2 linked regions of the Styela clava genome follow. Each later gene encodes a partner of the first gene's protein in a complex. Links are inferred from orthologs where the notes say so. Each region holds a gene or a part of one and is shown on either strand. Other genes may lie near its edges. The genes, in order: integrator complex subunit 4-like and integrator complex subunit 11-like.

What was found.
Region 2: the proteins of integrator complex subunit 4-like (region 1) and integrator complex subunit 11-like are in contact, whole or in part, in a cryo-EM structure (PDB 7SN8), measured with the Drosophila melanogaster proteins. The link is inferred for Styela clava from reciprocal best matches to the Drosophila melanogaster genes IntS4 and IntS11. Residues at the interface, in NP_572488.1 of Drosophila melanogaster: Arg226, Ser227, Gly228, Gln233, Lys256, Phe259, Tyr260, Asp262, Ser263, Gln264, Lys299, Asp300, Asp301, Cys349, Leu351, Lys380, Lys381, Ile437, Glu441, Glu443, Phe444, Leu445, Glu446, Arg448, Asp471, Phe472, Asp475, Asn478, Glu480, Ile481; in NP_651721.1 of Drosophila melanogaster: Thr182, Pro183, Arg185, Gly188, Ala189, Trp191, Ile192, Asp193, Lys194, Arg196, Ile210, Arg211, Asp212, Ser213, Lys214, Arg215, Arg258, Asn287, Gln288, Lys289, Lys292, Thr293, Met299, Gln400, Asn404, Asn469, Ala470, Pro472, Pro473, Pro475.

The regions. Positions count from the first base shown.
Region 1 is NC_135259.1:15,385,455-15,392,623, forward strand, and holds the start of integrator complex subunit 4-like, read left to right. Parts: upstream 1-3,983; 5' UTR 3,984-4,062; coding exon 4,063-4,171; intron 4,172-4,406; coding exon 4,407-7,030; intron 7,031-7,169. UniProt on the Drosophila melanogaster protein: Component of the integrator complex, a multiprotein complex that terminates RNA polymerase II (Pol II) transcription in the promoter-proximal region of genes.
Region 2 is NC_135252.1:16,275,039-16,282,728, reverse strand, and holds integrator complex subunit 11-like, read left to right. Parts: upstream 1-4,626; 5' UTR 4,627-4,708; coding exon 4,709-6,583; 3' UTR 6,584-6,938; downstream 6,939-7,690. UniProt on the Drosophila melanogaster protein: RNA endonuclease component of the integrator complex, a multiprotein complex that terminates RNA polymerase II (Pol II) transcription in the promoter-proximal region of genes.

The sequences.
Region 1 (7,169 bases):
CTTGGAATTAGTGTGCAAATCTTAAAATGCCAAAAAATGATTTGACGCCCTCTAGTGGATCCTTTTCGGAATTTCGAAAAATTATCGTTTTTGAAAGGGCGATTTCTCAAAAACCTCCAATAAAGGCAGCACTACGACACATTCCGAGAAAAGCAGATACCTTATAGATTCGATTTTAATATGTCAGAACAGTAGCAGCACGTTTTGACTTGGCCATATATAATACCAAACATAGCGTATAATTTTTAATTTTATCAACTATGTAGATGTAACATATTTGAAAACGGTTAGGTATTTCAACTTAATTTACTGGATAATTCATCAAACACTTTTTTCTCTTGGTCATACATCAAAACTGTATGTTCATTAAACTTGGAATAAGACGGCGAATCCTAAAATAACAAAAAATGATTTGACGCCCTCTTGTGTTTTTTTTTTTGAAGTTTTGAAAAAATATCGTTTTTAAAAGGGCGATTTCTCAAAAACCGCCAATAAAGGCAGCACTACAACACATTCGGAGAAAAGAAAATACCATATAGATTCCATTTCATTATGTCAGAACAACAGCAGCACGATTTTACTTGGCCATATATAATACCAAATATAACGTGTATTCACAATTTTATAAACAATGTACACGTAACATATTGTAAAAAGATTTTGTATTTTAACTAAATTTACTGGATAATTCATCAAACATCTTTTTTTTTTGAACGTACATCAATAATGAACGTTCATTAAACTTGGAATAGGTTGGAATAATATAAACTAATTTACGAGCTCTAAGTCAATATTTTCATTAAAATATAAAACCACGAATCGGTTACAAGTAATGATGGATCATTTTAGCCTGTCCCTAGTCAATCGCTGTCATTCCAGAACGCACTTTTTCATTGCAATCAAACTTAAGCTCATCGGAAGACACGATAACGATTAAAACACTTCATCCAAACCTATTTTTTTGAAACACGGCGAGAAACTTACAAATAACTTGCGAAATTGCGAAAGAAGGCAATGTTCACAACCATGCTTGAATGTCTATCTAAGAGAACAAGGTGTATCAGCGAATGTAAAAATAAATGCAAAAAAGAAGGGAAATTTACGATATGTTTGGTATTACGTATGGCAGAGTCAATCGTGCAGCTACTGTTCTAGTACAGTGAAATGGAATTCAAAATGTATTTGTTTTTTTCCGAATGTGTCGTAGTGCTGCCTTTATTGGCGGTTTTCGAGAAATCGCCCTTTTAAAAACGATATTTTTTCAAATTATGAAAAGAATCCACAAGGATGCGTAAAATAATTTTTTGTTGTTTTATACTTTCCGCAACTTATTCCAAGTTCAATTAAAGTACAGTATTGATTTAGGACCAGGAGAAAAATATATTCGATTATTTATCGAGTAAATTTAGTTGAAATACCAAACCGTTTTCAAATATGTTACGTCTGCATTGTTTATAAAAGTTTGAATACACGCTATGTTTGGTATTATATATGGCCAAGTCAAAACGTGCTGCTACAGTTCTGACATAATGGAATCAAATCTATAAGGTATATGCTTTTCTCAGAATGTGTCGTAATGCTGCCTTTATTGGCGGTTTTCAAGAATTCGTCACTCCATAAACGGTATGTTTAGGAAATTGAAAAAAATATATAATAGGGCGTAAGACATTTTATGTGGTTTTATACAATTCACAACTTATTCCAAGTTTAATTAACGTGCAGTATTGATGTATGACCAAGAGAAAAAAGTGTTTGATGAATTACCAGTAAATCTAGTTGAAATACCTAACCGTTTTTGAATATGTTACATCTACATGATTGATAAAATTAAAAATTATACGCTATGTTTGGTATTATTTATGGCCAACTCAAAACGTGCTGCTACTGTTCTGACTTTGAAATTTTGAAAATAATCCACAAAAGGACGTAAAATGCTTTTTGGTATTTTATACTTTCCGCAACTTATTCCAAGTTTAATGAACGTATGGTATATATGTATGTCCAAGAGAAAAAGATGTTTGATAAATTATCTAGAAAATTTATTTGAAATACCAAACCGTTTTTGAATAATGTTAAGTCTGCATTGTTTATAAAAGTTTGAATACACGCTATGTTTGGTATTATATATGGCCAAGTCAAAACGTGCTGCTACTGTTTTGACATAATGAAATCAAATCTATAAGGTATTTGCTTTGCTCCGAATGTGTCGTAGTGCTGCCTTTATTGGCGGTTTTTGAGAAATCGTCCTTTTCAAAAACGATAATTTTTCGAAATTCCGAAAAGAATCCACAAGAGGGCGTCAAATCATTTTTTGGCATTTTAAGATTTGCACACTAATTCCAAGTTTAATGAACGTACAGTTTTGTTGTATACCCAAGAGAAGAAAGTATTTGATGAATTTTCCAGTAAATTTAGTTGAAATACCAAACCGTTTTTAAATATGTCACATCTACAATATTTAATAAAATTGAAAGTATACGCTATGTTTGGAATTATATATGGCCAAGTCAAAACGTGCTGCTACTGTTCTGACATATTAAAATCGAATCTATAAGGTATCTGCTTTTCTCCAAATGTGTCGTAATGCTGCCTCTATTGGCGGTTTTCGAGAAATCGCTATTTCAATAACAATAATTTTTTGAAATTTTGAAAATAATCCACAAAAGGACGTAAAATGCTTTTTGGTATTTTATACTTTCCGCAACTTATTCCAAGTTTAATGAACGTACAATATATATGTATGTCCAAGAAAAAAAGATGTTTGATAATTTATCTAGTAAATTTAGTTGAAATACCAAACGTTTTTTGAATATGTTACGTCTGCATTGTTTATAACTTTTTGAATACACGCTATGTTTGGTATTATATATGGCAAAGTCAAAACATGCTGCTACTGTTCTGACATAATGAAATCAAATCTATAAGATATCTGCTTTTCTCCGAATGTGTCGTAGTGCTGCCTTTATTGGCGGTTTTTGAGAAATCGCCCTTTCAAAAACGATATTTTTTTGAAATTCCGAAAAAAATCCACAAGAGGGCGTAAAATCATTTTTTGTTATTTTTAGATTTGCCACTTATTCCAAGTTTATTGAACGTACAGTTGTGATATATGGCCAAGAGAAAAAAGTATTTGATGAATTATCCAGTAAATTTAGTTGAAATACCAAACCGTTTTTAAATATGTTACATCTACATAGTTAATAAAATTGAAAATTATATGCTATGTTTGGTATCATGTATTGCCAAGTTAAAACGTGCTGCTACTGTTCTGACATATTAAAATCGAATCTATAGGGTATATGCTTTTCTTCGAATGTGTCGTAGTGCTGCCTTTAGTGGCGGTTTTTGAGAAATCGCCCTTTCAAAAACGGTAATTTTGTGAAATTTATTAAAGAATCCACAAGAGGGCGTAATTTTTTTTCGGTATTTCAGACTTTCCTCAACTTATTCTAAGTTTAATGAAGTGCATTATTGTTGTGTGACAAAGAGAAAAATATTTTCTTTGATGAACTATCCAGTAAATTTAGTTGAAATACAAAATCAGTTTCAAATTTGTTATATATACATTGTTTTAAAAATTGAAGAATATACGCTATGTTTAGTATTATATATGGTCAAGTCAAAACGTGCTGAGACTGTTCTGACATATTGAAATCGAATCTTTGGGGTTTCTACTTTTCACCAATGGTGTTGCAATGCTGCCTTTATTGGAGGTTTTCATGAAACGACCATGTTACACGACGAAAATTCAGTCATTTTTAAACATCTCTCAAAGAATTATAAAAAAATTTTGTGCACTGTAACAGTCGCTTTAGCTTGTTTACTATATATTAACAATACGAGGAGTGTAATTAATGATTGTTTTGCTTTAATTGCTATTGTGAAACTAATCAAAATATACACTTTCTTTTAAAAATCATTGGGAACATTTATTTTCACGCGTGGGTATTTTCTGCGATTCTGTCAGTCACAATTTCGTGTTTTGCTGCTAGCTTCACAGAGGTGAAAATTTGTGGTAATCGATCTTGTTCGTTCTGAGTACGGATCGAGAGATTTGTACACATGAAAATGGCGGTTCATCTTAAAAAGAGGGCTTGTGAAGAATTCAGCCATGTTATCCAAAGCGACCTTAGCACACCAAAACGGCTACGTCTAATTAAAAAAAGTTCAAGTGAGTGTTAGGTTAAAACACTGAAAACATGTAAAATATTCCCGTATAAAATTGGATTTTTTTGTTCGGATTTTTCATATGTTTTAAATTAATTTACACATGACGGTAAAATAAATTTAATACCGTACTTCATTCCAGTGCTGGCTAATTGAATATCTATATTGATATATCACCTGTTTGTTTCAGTTCATATTGAAAAACAAACTTAACCATTAACTTCGTCATTTGTTTTTAGATTCAACAGAAAAACAGACAATTGTAAAAGTCAAAGATTCTGACAGCTCAAAAGAAAAACTTCAATCCCTTATTCAGTTCTCAAAAAAGCTTCCAATACCTCCTAATCAGGTACGGCAGAATGTTCTCGAGCTACTAAAACTTTTTGCAAATGAGAAAGATTCATCTGTTCGAACAAAGATTGCTTGGTTGATAGGGAATTTGTGTCAAACAGCAAGATTTAATGCTCTGAGCACACTGAAAAGTATTATTTCACTCCTTAAATCTGAAAAATCGAGCCAAGTATTGTCACAACTTTGGTCTGTTCTCACTAATTGCGCTAAAATTCTCCCGAATGAACGAGAACTACATGAAACCCTTGTTGAACTTGCTTGCAAAACATTGCTTAGCAAAAACCATAAAGTTCGAAGCGAGTGTCTTATACTGATCGGTAACCTCGGAAAAATTGAGAAATCGACTGAACCATGTAGGCCTAGTAGTAAAAGCAATAAAGTGAACATACAAACACTTCTTGGAGATTTCTTTGGAGATCAAGAACCAAGAGTACGATGTAGTGCATTACAAGCAATGATATTGCTCCATCAAAGAAGACAAAACTTAGAACTTCATGTGTATAATCAAGCTTGCTCAGCTCTTTCTGATGACTATGAAGCTGTGAGAGTTGCTGCTTTAAAACTTGTCTGGATAATGAGCAACATATACCCAGAAAGTGAGGTATCTGTTTCAATGTCAGATGAAAAACTACGACTTGTAGATGATGCTTTTGTAAAACTGTGTGACATGGTGAATGACAGTTCATATAAAGTCAGAGCGGCTGCTGCTGGACTTCTAGGTTCCATGCACCTAGTTAGTAATTCATTTCTTTTTCAAACTCTGGACAAAAAATTGATGTCGGATTTAAAAAAGAAAAAATCACTAAACGAAAAAGCAAAAGAGGCATATGTGGGTGAATTCTCTTCTGGTGCTAAATGGGCGGATGATGCTCCCAAAGAAGTAGATACGGAAGCTAACCAGCTTATAATTGGAGGAGCTTGTGGTGCCTTTGTTCACAGCCTCGAAGACGAAATGTTAGAAGTACGAACTGCTGCTGTTGATTCTCTTACAGAGCTTGCATGTCATCGTATCAATTCAAAATTTCCTCAAGCAGCTTTGGATTTTCTTGTTGATTGTCTTAATGATGAAATTGAAGCCGTAAGATTGAATGCAGTCAATTCTTTACATAAGATCATGCAGAATGTTGCTCTTCTTGAAGACCAATTGGAAAACGTATTAGCGGGAATGGAAGATTTCTGTGTTGAAATAAGAGAAGGAATACATTTACTGCTAAGTAATTGTACCTTGACATCAAAATTCTGTCTTAATGATACAATTATGAAGTTGCTCAAAAATCTCAATAAATATCCACAGGACCGAATGTCTATCTGGAAAGCTTATAAACACATAGGGAAGCATCATAGCCAATTGGTGTATTTGCTTGTTCCGCATTTACTATCATGCCATCCTTACTTTGATATGCCTGAACCAAAGATGGACGACCCAGGTTATATTGGCGTTCTTATTCTTGTTTTTAATGCAGCGGAATTATGTCCGAAAATGACGCAAATATTCCCAGAGCATGTTGTAAGGCATTATCAGTATCTTCGTGACAGTATACCTGATTTAGTACCGCAAGAAATTAAACTAACAACTTTTGCAAATGGAGATGAATCGTGTATGAATTCCCCACCTCGACGGTCTGAAGGTGCATCAGATCCTGCAGAATTTTTAAACAAAGCACTACAACGTGTTAAAAATCTACAACTTCATGACAGCAGGACACAAAAAAGCCTTCTCACTTGTACCATCAATGATTTGAAACACATTTCTAACATTGCGCCAAAGCTTTCATCGACTGCTACCAGCTCAGCAAATTTTTTGCAAGCACAACTACTTCTGTCAGAAATAGTTGATACCAGGGCGTGGTCTGGATCTGCATTGGCTTGCACTCAACATTTAGAATCCACAAGACCGGCTGCTAGAAAAATTGAGAGACTAACACAAGAACTAGAGCATTTGTTTCTTGGTCTGAGTACGGACGAAATTGCTCTTCTCAGGCAGATGTGCCTGAAAGCACAATCATTGGAGTTCCTAATGGATATGCAGAACCTAATGAATCAAAAAGATGTGTCAACGTCTTCTCTTTCACTGAGATGCCAGAAATTCTTTAACACTATAAAAGATGTTCATCAGTATTTGGAAACGCACAATCATATACCTGATTCATTTTCAAAAACACTTTTCAACGAAGTCTTAAAGTTGGATCCAACGAAAAAATATTCATTAGTTGTCAAGTTGCTTCAACCATTGTTATTACATTACAGTGTATCTAATGTCACTTTCTCCAACAAAGTTCGGGAGTCAAAGGTCGTAGTTCATACTCCTCTTTCTCGGACAGATTCCAGTATATCCTTTTCAGCAGGATTAACTACTGCTCTAGATGTGGATGCTACTTCAACAAATATCCCAAACCCATTGCGTGATGTGAGAATACAGATTAAATATCCAGATTCAACTGTTCAAATGGTTCTGTTAAAACCACAGGATATCAAACAAATATCTGCAATGGAGCATCGAATAATTACTAAGGTGAATTCTTTGACTAATTACTATTTACAGCATGCTAATTGTATTTAATATTCAAGGGGTGAGTAGGGACAGAATACCACATAATTCATTATAAAAATGTAATTTGTGAGCTATAAATATGATTTTTGAGTATGCAAAA
Region 2 (7,690 bases), on another chromosome or scaffold:
CAATTCGCGTATATATACTTTTCTTTCTCACGAATCAACGCCCGAATTCTTTGAATTTGTATCGTATTATCAACTTATATACATACGGTATTAAAAATAATTTTTTCGTGTGTCAAACCGTATATATGGTCAAACGGATCAGAAGATACGCGCTTGAGCCACTGAATTGGAAATACATGGAACGATCTTCTCTCTGGTGTTGCGATGTCGCAGCGCGGGGCAATTTGATCGTCGCCATCTTTGCGTTTATGCTTCCAAAGTTTCAGGTTTTGGCCAGCTTTTCGTCTATTTTACTACCCAGTGCGCTACATATGGATCTATATGCGACCTTTTGTGGGTATTGAAACACGATTATACTCACGTTGGAAATTTATAGTCTGATGTGGATCTCGTTTTTGAAAAAGTTTGGTTGTTTAGGCCATAGGTTCTCAAAGTGCTCCGTACGGAGCCCCAGGGCTCCGCGAGAGAAACCCAGGGGCTCCGCGAGCTATTCGATTACTTTTCAAAATAATGACTAGTTTTGTAGCTGTTCAAAGAAGCAATAACAGCTTTGATAAAATTTGACAACAATATAGCCTCGAAATATGGCAAAGAGGCGGAATTAAAAAATGACATTATTTATAAGCTGGAGCGCAGCCAGGATTCTCAAGAGGTGGGGATTTGCGCGCAACATTCTTTGCGATTATAAAAAACGGATAACGAGATTTCTGTTGCGTAAAATATTCAATGCATGGCCGATGCGAGCATTTAAAGTGTCTTGTCGTAATAATTCAATTGTACTCATAGTTACTCAAGTTTCATTCGAGATTACTATTAGGATTACTAAAATGAAAGAATACTATTCTAAAATAACATAAAAGACGTGATAAACTGCCAACTATAAATAAATTGGAGTCGTATTTTTGCGATCTTGGAATTTGTCAAACTTGATTTGTTCTTTTGCACTCGAGATTATTATTAAGCAAGATATCGCCGTTTAAAAAATCACAAGATCTGGGCAAAATACGATTGAAATTTATTTCAAATGCATGCGGCTCCGTCGGTAGTTTCAGAATAAAAAAAGGTAAATCGCGCACACAATTGACTGTGTTTCGATTTCGCAGTTACTATACGATGAATACCCAAAAGAAAACCTAACATTACACCAAATTTTGTGATTTACAATGCCTATAAAAGCGTTTTTCACATTGAACTCATAATTCCCCACGAGAACAAAAAAGCAATTATCGTCGTCATTGTGGAAAAATACATGTATATGGCGAAGAAAATTTTTGATTTAGGGAGAATAAACACCGGCGTAAAGATGTTTAAAAACATGCCATGCTGACAAAAACTATCGGTGATTGTAACAAAATGCAATCGCGCACGTTATTACGGGCCTTTTTAAGTCTTCCGAAAATGTCAAAAGGGAAAAGATTCGACCCCTAGTTTATTAATATGTTTGTCAAGTGTCAAATTTACAGCTTTAGTAAGAGTATATATAATTTATCTTTGAAATTTCGATTTATTTATGACTTGCATTAACCCCATTAAAAAGGTTTAGCATTTAATTTAAGTTAAGTACTTTTAACTTACTCAGGAATATTTATCGGAAAGCTACAATTTTAACATTTCTTTTGGGGCTCCGCGAATAATAGTCAACCTTTTCAGGGGCTCCGCAACACCAAAAGTTTGAGAACCCCTGGTTTAGGCGATTATACAATAGATATAAGTGGAAACAATTGTTTTTGCCTTATATAATAAAAATGCAATAACCTATAGTCTATAAAGTCTATAGAGTAGGCGAACAATATTAGTTACCTCCATATTGGTACACGCACTTATGGAGCGCTCTTTAGTTATATTTATATGCACGGCTCTGGAACTACGGAACCAGGCCATGCAATGATATTGAGATCGCTACGCAAAATACTTAAGGCAATAAAATAAGGCCAAATACAGGTAAATGGGGGAGCGATTCCGATAAGACATCTTGGCTAATGTTTTGTGGTCGTTTTTGTTCGCTTTTGACTGATACGTTGACCATATTATTAACCCACTACTTTCGCAAATTTATAAAACTTCCAAAATTAGCACCGTATGGTAGGCTAGGGCAGCGTTTCCCAAACTTTTTCGGCCACGGAACACTCACACTTTTCATCTCGTCTCGCGGAACACCGAAAAATGAAAGTGTAAAATTGATAAAGAAAAATGGTGTAAGGCAGCGGTTCCCAAAGGTTGCGCCAGGAGAACTAGTGTTGCTAAATGCGCCGCGAAAACTAACAGAATTGTATTAAACATTAATACAGTATGATTGAATATTTAACATAGCATTTACCATAAATGTTTATTTTTTCCTATTTTAAAAATATATTAATCAATAAATCAGTTATTGGACACGTAGTGGACATAACGATCGTTTCAATATTATGTTGATGTTGTTCTTTGACACGTTTTTAAAAAGTCGCTTTTCTCTTCGAATACTGGACCAATTGCTTTGAAATTTTCAGTGGTTGAAGATAAAATTTTTCTCCAGAAGGCTATTACTTTTTTTTTTGCTATGACGTCATCAAAGTTATTGCCATTGGGTGGCGCTACGTGTCCATATATTTGAGCATAGCTATCTTGTTTAATATGAGCATTTCAAAGTAAAACCAGGCAGAGAGGGAGAAGGAACATTTGACCCTTTTGCCTTTATTCTTTAAGCTTACATGTTTACCTATAGCAAAACCAAAAAGATTGCTGTAAATTTGATAATGAACTTGACAATCAAAAAGCTAGGCCGACGGTTCACGAAAATGGCTCTCCCCTTAAAACGTTAGTCCGCTTCAGGCCGGCGGTGACGCGATATTGAACGGCTTCTTCAGGATCCTGTGATCGCTATGGCGACCAATTTAGTCGTAATTTGTATCGCTTTTCCGCGGAACACTCGGAAGACCCTCGCGTCGCGGAACACTCGGAAGACCCTCGCGTCGCGGAACACTAGTGTTCCGCGGAACACAGTTTGGGAAACGCTGGGCTAGGGTATACTAGCGTTTGATTTAACCGTGAATATATACTACTACGCTTTAACCGCTTTTAACTGTGAATCTTAATGGTGAATTTTGGGGGAGCTGACTCTGATGACCCTAAGTGCGCATCGCTTCCACCAGTCCATACCGAATTAACTTGCATATTTTGTTGTACCAATGCTTGTTTTCTGGTTGACGAAACAATAAATCTCTCTCTCTTTGTAAGAAAAAGACTAAGAGTGAAGTGTAAAGAACTTATCGAAGATTTTTTCCAAAGCATATATTGGGATTTTGAATGCTGCTGAAGTCATACATGGACTACATGTTTACAAACTTTAAAAGACATAAAATACACAACGATGATCACAAAATTGAATTTTATTTGAAAGTAGCAATTTTTTTCTCAGGTTTTCCCTGATAATTTGGCGTTGCATGAACAAAATGTTGGGAACCGCTAAACTAACTAATTTCATACCCTGGACTAGTACCCGTGGAGGCCGTCGAGGATCATATGATTAGGCCGTTTAATCGGTTTTTCTCTCCCGCAGGATAAATATGTGAATAGTATTCTAAGTTTGCAAGCGCCATCTCGAGAAAAGGTATACCAAAAATTTGCCAAAATCTACTAAAATTTGGGTGTCAAAGGTCGAACAGACATCCATTGAAGGAACGGGTGAATCCAATTCACATCATATTGGTAGGCCAAGTTCGGTCGGAGTCTAATGTAGTTTCGTGCCTAACGTACTTCTAGAGGGCGTAGCATACGAATTTTTTTTTTCGTATCAATCCTAACCCCCACCTGAATACGCCATCCAAAAATTAGTCCCAGTTCCCCAACCCATTCAGTTAAAAAAATTTCATTTTCAAAATTATTTTTGGCAATAATAGGCTCTAGTTTGGGCAATGAAGTGGTCTAGCCCACCTCTTCATGCACCCAATTCTGGCAACTTTGGTTGGGCATTTTGGCATTTGACTCCATCTATAATCAGCTTGACAATATATTTTTTTATAAAAGTTTATCTTTACTGTTCACTCCCATTTATAAAATTGATCAATTTGGCAGTGGCAATCATGATAAATTTATTAATATGGTGTGGCAAGTAATTTTTATTTATTTATTTTTTATTAACTACCAGTATGTAATTTTTCATGTTCCCTTTACTTAATAACTTCTATATGGTTGCGTGTAAGCGTGTGTGAAATATTTCAATTATTTTAGGTGAGTGAACACGTACCACATCTTCTTGGCAAAACCTTCCATCTTATATACATTCTGTACGTTTTAAACCTTATCTAAGGTGTTGTTCGCTCTCCTGATTTCATAATCAGTTTTTATTTATTTATTTTTAGCACTCATTTTATTGTTTTGCTGATTATGGAGTCGAAATAAACCCATACTTATACTTATCACTTCAATAGTTTTTTTCATTTTTGTATTTTAATTTCGTAGTCTAGTTGTATGGAAGTGCTAACTTCTGAACTTATTAATTTAACAACTTGAAAAAAGTTTGTATTTCTGTGAGCCCATAATATGCCTCAATCATATGGCAAACCACAACCTTGATGGTGGAGGAAGCCATCAAGTCCACTTGCAGACTTGTACAGTTAGTTATAGCACCTACAGACCTAACATATCAACGTTTTAAATTTGGCAGCTATCCTATGGTTTAATACATTTAGATATGCCTTTTGATAATTGCTGAATTGGTAACGCAGTAATGCCTGACATAAAAGTTGTACCCCTTGGTGCAGGCCAGGATGTTGGCCGCAGTTGCATATTGATATCCCTTGGTGGAAAAAATGTGATGTTAGATTGTGGAATGCACATGGGATTTAACGATGATCGAAGGTTTCCTGACTTTTCATATGTCACTGGTGGAAAGGGACGATTAACCGAGTATATTGACTGCGTTATTATAAGCCATTTTCATTTGGACCACTGTGGTGCATTACCATACATGTCTGAAATGGTTGGCTATGATGGACCAATCTACATGACCCATCCTACAAAAGCAATAGCTCCAATCCTTTTGGAAGACTACAGAAAAATAACTGTTGATAAAAAAGGTGAAGTTAATTTTTTCACCTCACAAATGATCAAAGATTGTATGAAAAAGGTAGTTACGGCAAATCTGCATCAAACCATATATGTTGACGAAGAACTCCAGATTAAGGCGTATTATGCAGGGCATGTATTAGGAGCAGGAATGTTCTACATTCGTGCTGGAACTGAATCTGTTTTATACACAGGAGATTATAATATGACCCCTGATAGGCATCTTGGAGCAGCATGGGTAGATAAATGCCGGCCAACCCTGCTTATTACTGAATCAACGTATGCAACAACTATACGAGATTCGAAACGATGTCGAGAAAGGGATTTTCTGAAGAAAGTGCATGAAACAATTGATAAGGGTGGAAAAGTATTGATCCCTGTTTTTGCTCTTGGAAGAGCACAAGAACTTTGTATTTTACTAGAGTCATACTGGGATCGCATGAATTTGAGAGTTCCAATATATTTTTCAACAGGTTTAACTGAAAAAGCAACAAATTATTACAAGCTTTTCATAACTTGGACAAATCAAAAGATAAAAAGTACTTTTGTGGATAGAAACTTGTTCGATTTCAAACATATCAAGCCATTCAACAGAACACTCATTGAAAATCCAGGTCCCATGGTTGTTTTTGCAACCCCGGGAATGCTCCATAGTGGATTGTCTCTTGAAATTTTTAAAAAATGGTGTACTAGTGACAAAAATACCATCATAATGCCTGGTTATTGTGTTGCAGGTACTGTAGGCCACAAAATCCTTTCTGGTATGAGGAAAATCGAGTTGCAACCTGGTAAGGTGGTTGAAATCAAAATGCAGGTACAATATATGTCGTTTAGTGCACACGCTGATGCTAAAGGGATAATGCAGCTAACTCGTATGTGTGAACCAGAGCATGTGTTGTTGGTTCATGGTGAAGCAAAGAAAATGGAATTTTTAAAAGCAAAAATAAATCATGAATTAGGATTGGAGTGCTTTAATCCAGCAAATGGGGAGACCTGTGTCATCTCATCAAAGCCATGTGTACCAGTTGACATGTCTTTAAAACTCCTCAAACACAAAACTGAAATTGTTGATACTGCAACTCCGAACCCAAAATGTTCTAAAATTATACATGGAGCGTTGCTAATGAAAGACAATAAAATAAGACTTTTAGAACAAGATGAAGCATTACAAGAACTTGGACTGCCAAAACATGATTTACGATTCACATCAACAGTGGAATTACAAAATGCTTGCCGTTCTGAAAAACTAACAATGACTCGATTATATGAACATTTAAAGCAGTTGTTGAGGTCACATTCTGTTAATACCACATCAGATGGACATATATTGATTGAATCAGTTTTACTTAAAGTTCAAAAAGATTCAGAAACAGCTATGGATGTGTCGGATGATTTTAATACCCATGAAGATGACAGTCCAGCAAGTAAATCAATATTGGTTTCATGGCCATATCAAGATGAGGATTTGGGAAGTTATTTAATGGAGGTTTTGAAAAATGGTTTGCCAAAATCAGTGACAAAACTTCCTGTTCACTGACGTACTTGTTCAATCTTTTCACTAAATCAAGACCAAAATCATATGGCCATATTGATATAATTTCAAATACTAGAGAACTTGCATAATCCGAGTTTTTCTTAAAATCAGGTCCATTATTTCACCAGTTTTGTGCATCTCAAGAAGTATTTACAGTTTACACATACATCTGGCTAGTACTCTAGTCAAAGCTAAACTTGAATGAGGCAGTTGCGCCATAATGCAGAATCTGTTGAGCACAATTGTTTTATAGGTTTAGAAAGCTTACTCTATTAACCCTGCTACATCTTGTGTACACACTGCTTTGTGCATATTCCGTGCATTTGTTACTTTCTTTTTTATCAATATAATAAACACAATAATGGGTTGTCAAATCTTTCAAGTGTTCATCCTTTAAAACTTTCTGGGGCAAGCTTGGAGTTGGTTGGGAGCATATTAAAGAACTGATTGGATATCCTGTGATTTAATAATATCAGTACCGGTACCAAGTTTTATGTCACTTTATTTTGGTTCTATCTCATGCGCCGAAAATGTCCAAGTACTGGAAAATCTTTTTATGCTAAACAAAGAATCACTGATCTCCGAGATAAAATAGGCAGCGGTTCTCGACCTTTTTCGATGCATAAATCCTTTGGCCTATTTTCATGCTCATCAGCTTCTGTTACGCGCAAGTAACACTCTTAAGAATAGATGATCATAATGTGTCCGCAATTGCATTGCGATAATACTAAATAAGTCAAATGTTTGCAGCGATACCCGCATTATTTATTTGTTTTATCTACTATTTTATCGTCTGTTATGCTGATTACGCAGTCGAAATAAACTTATACGGTACCTATTATATACAAAGCAAAATGTCTCGAAACAATGAAAGTTTTCTATCCAATCCTCTCACGTTTCACTCATATACGAGGCAAAATATTTTCCCGAAACATTAAAACTCCTCCGATCCAGTCCTCTCACGTTCATTCATATACAAAGCAAAATATCCTCCCGAAACAATGAAACTCCTTCGATCCAATCCTCTCACGTGTGCCAGAAGCCTCTTTAGATGAAACATGTGAAGGATCAATAAAATGTTGTACGCAATTTTCTGAATGAAACATAATT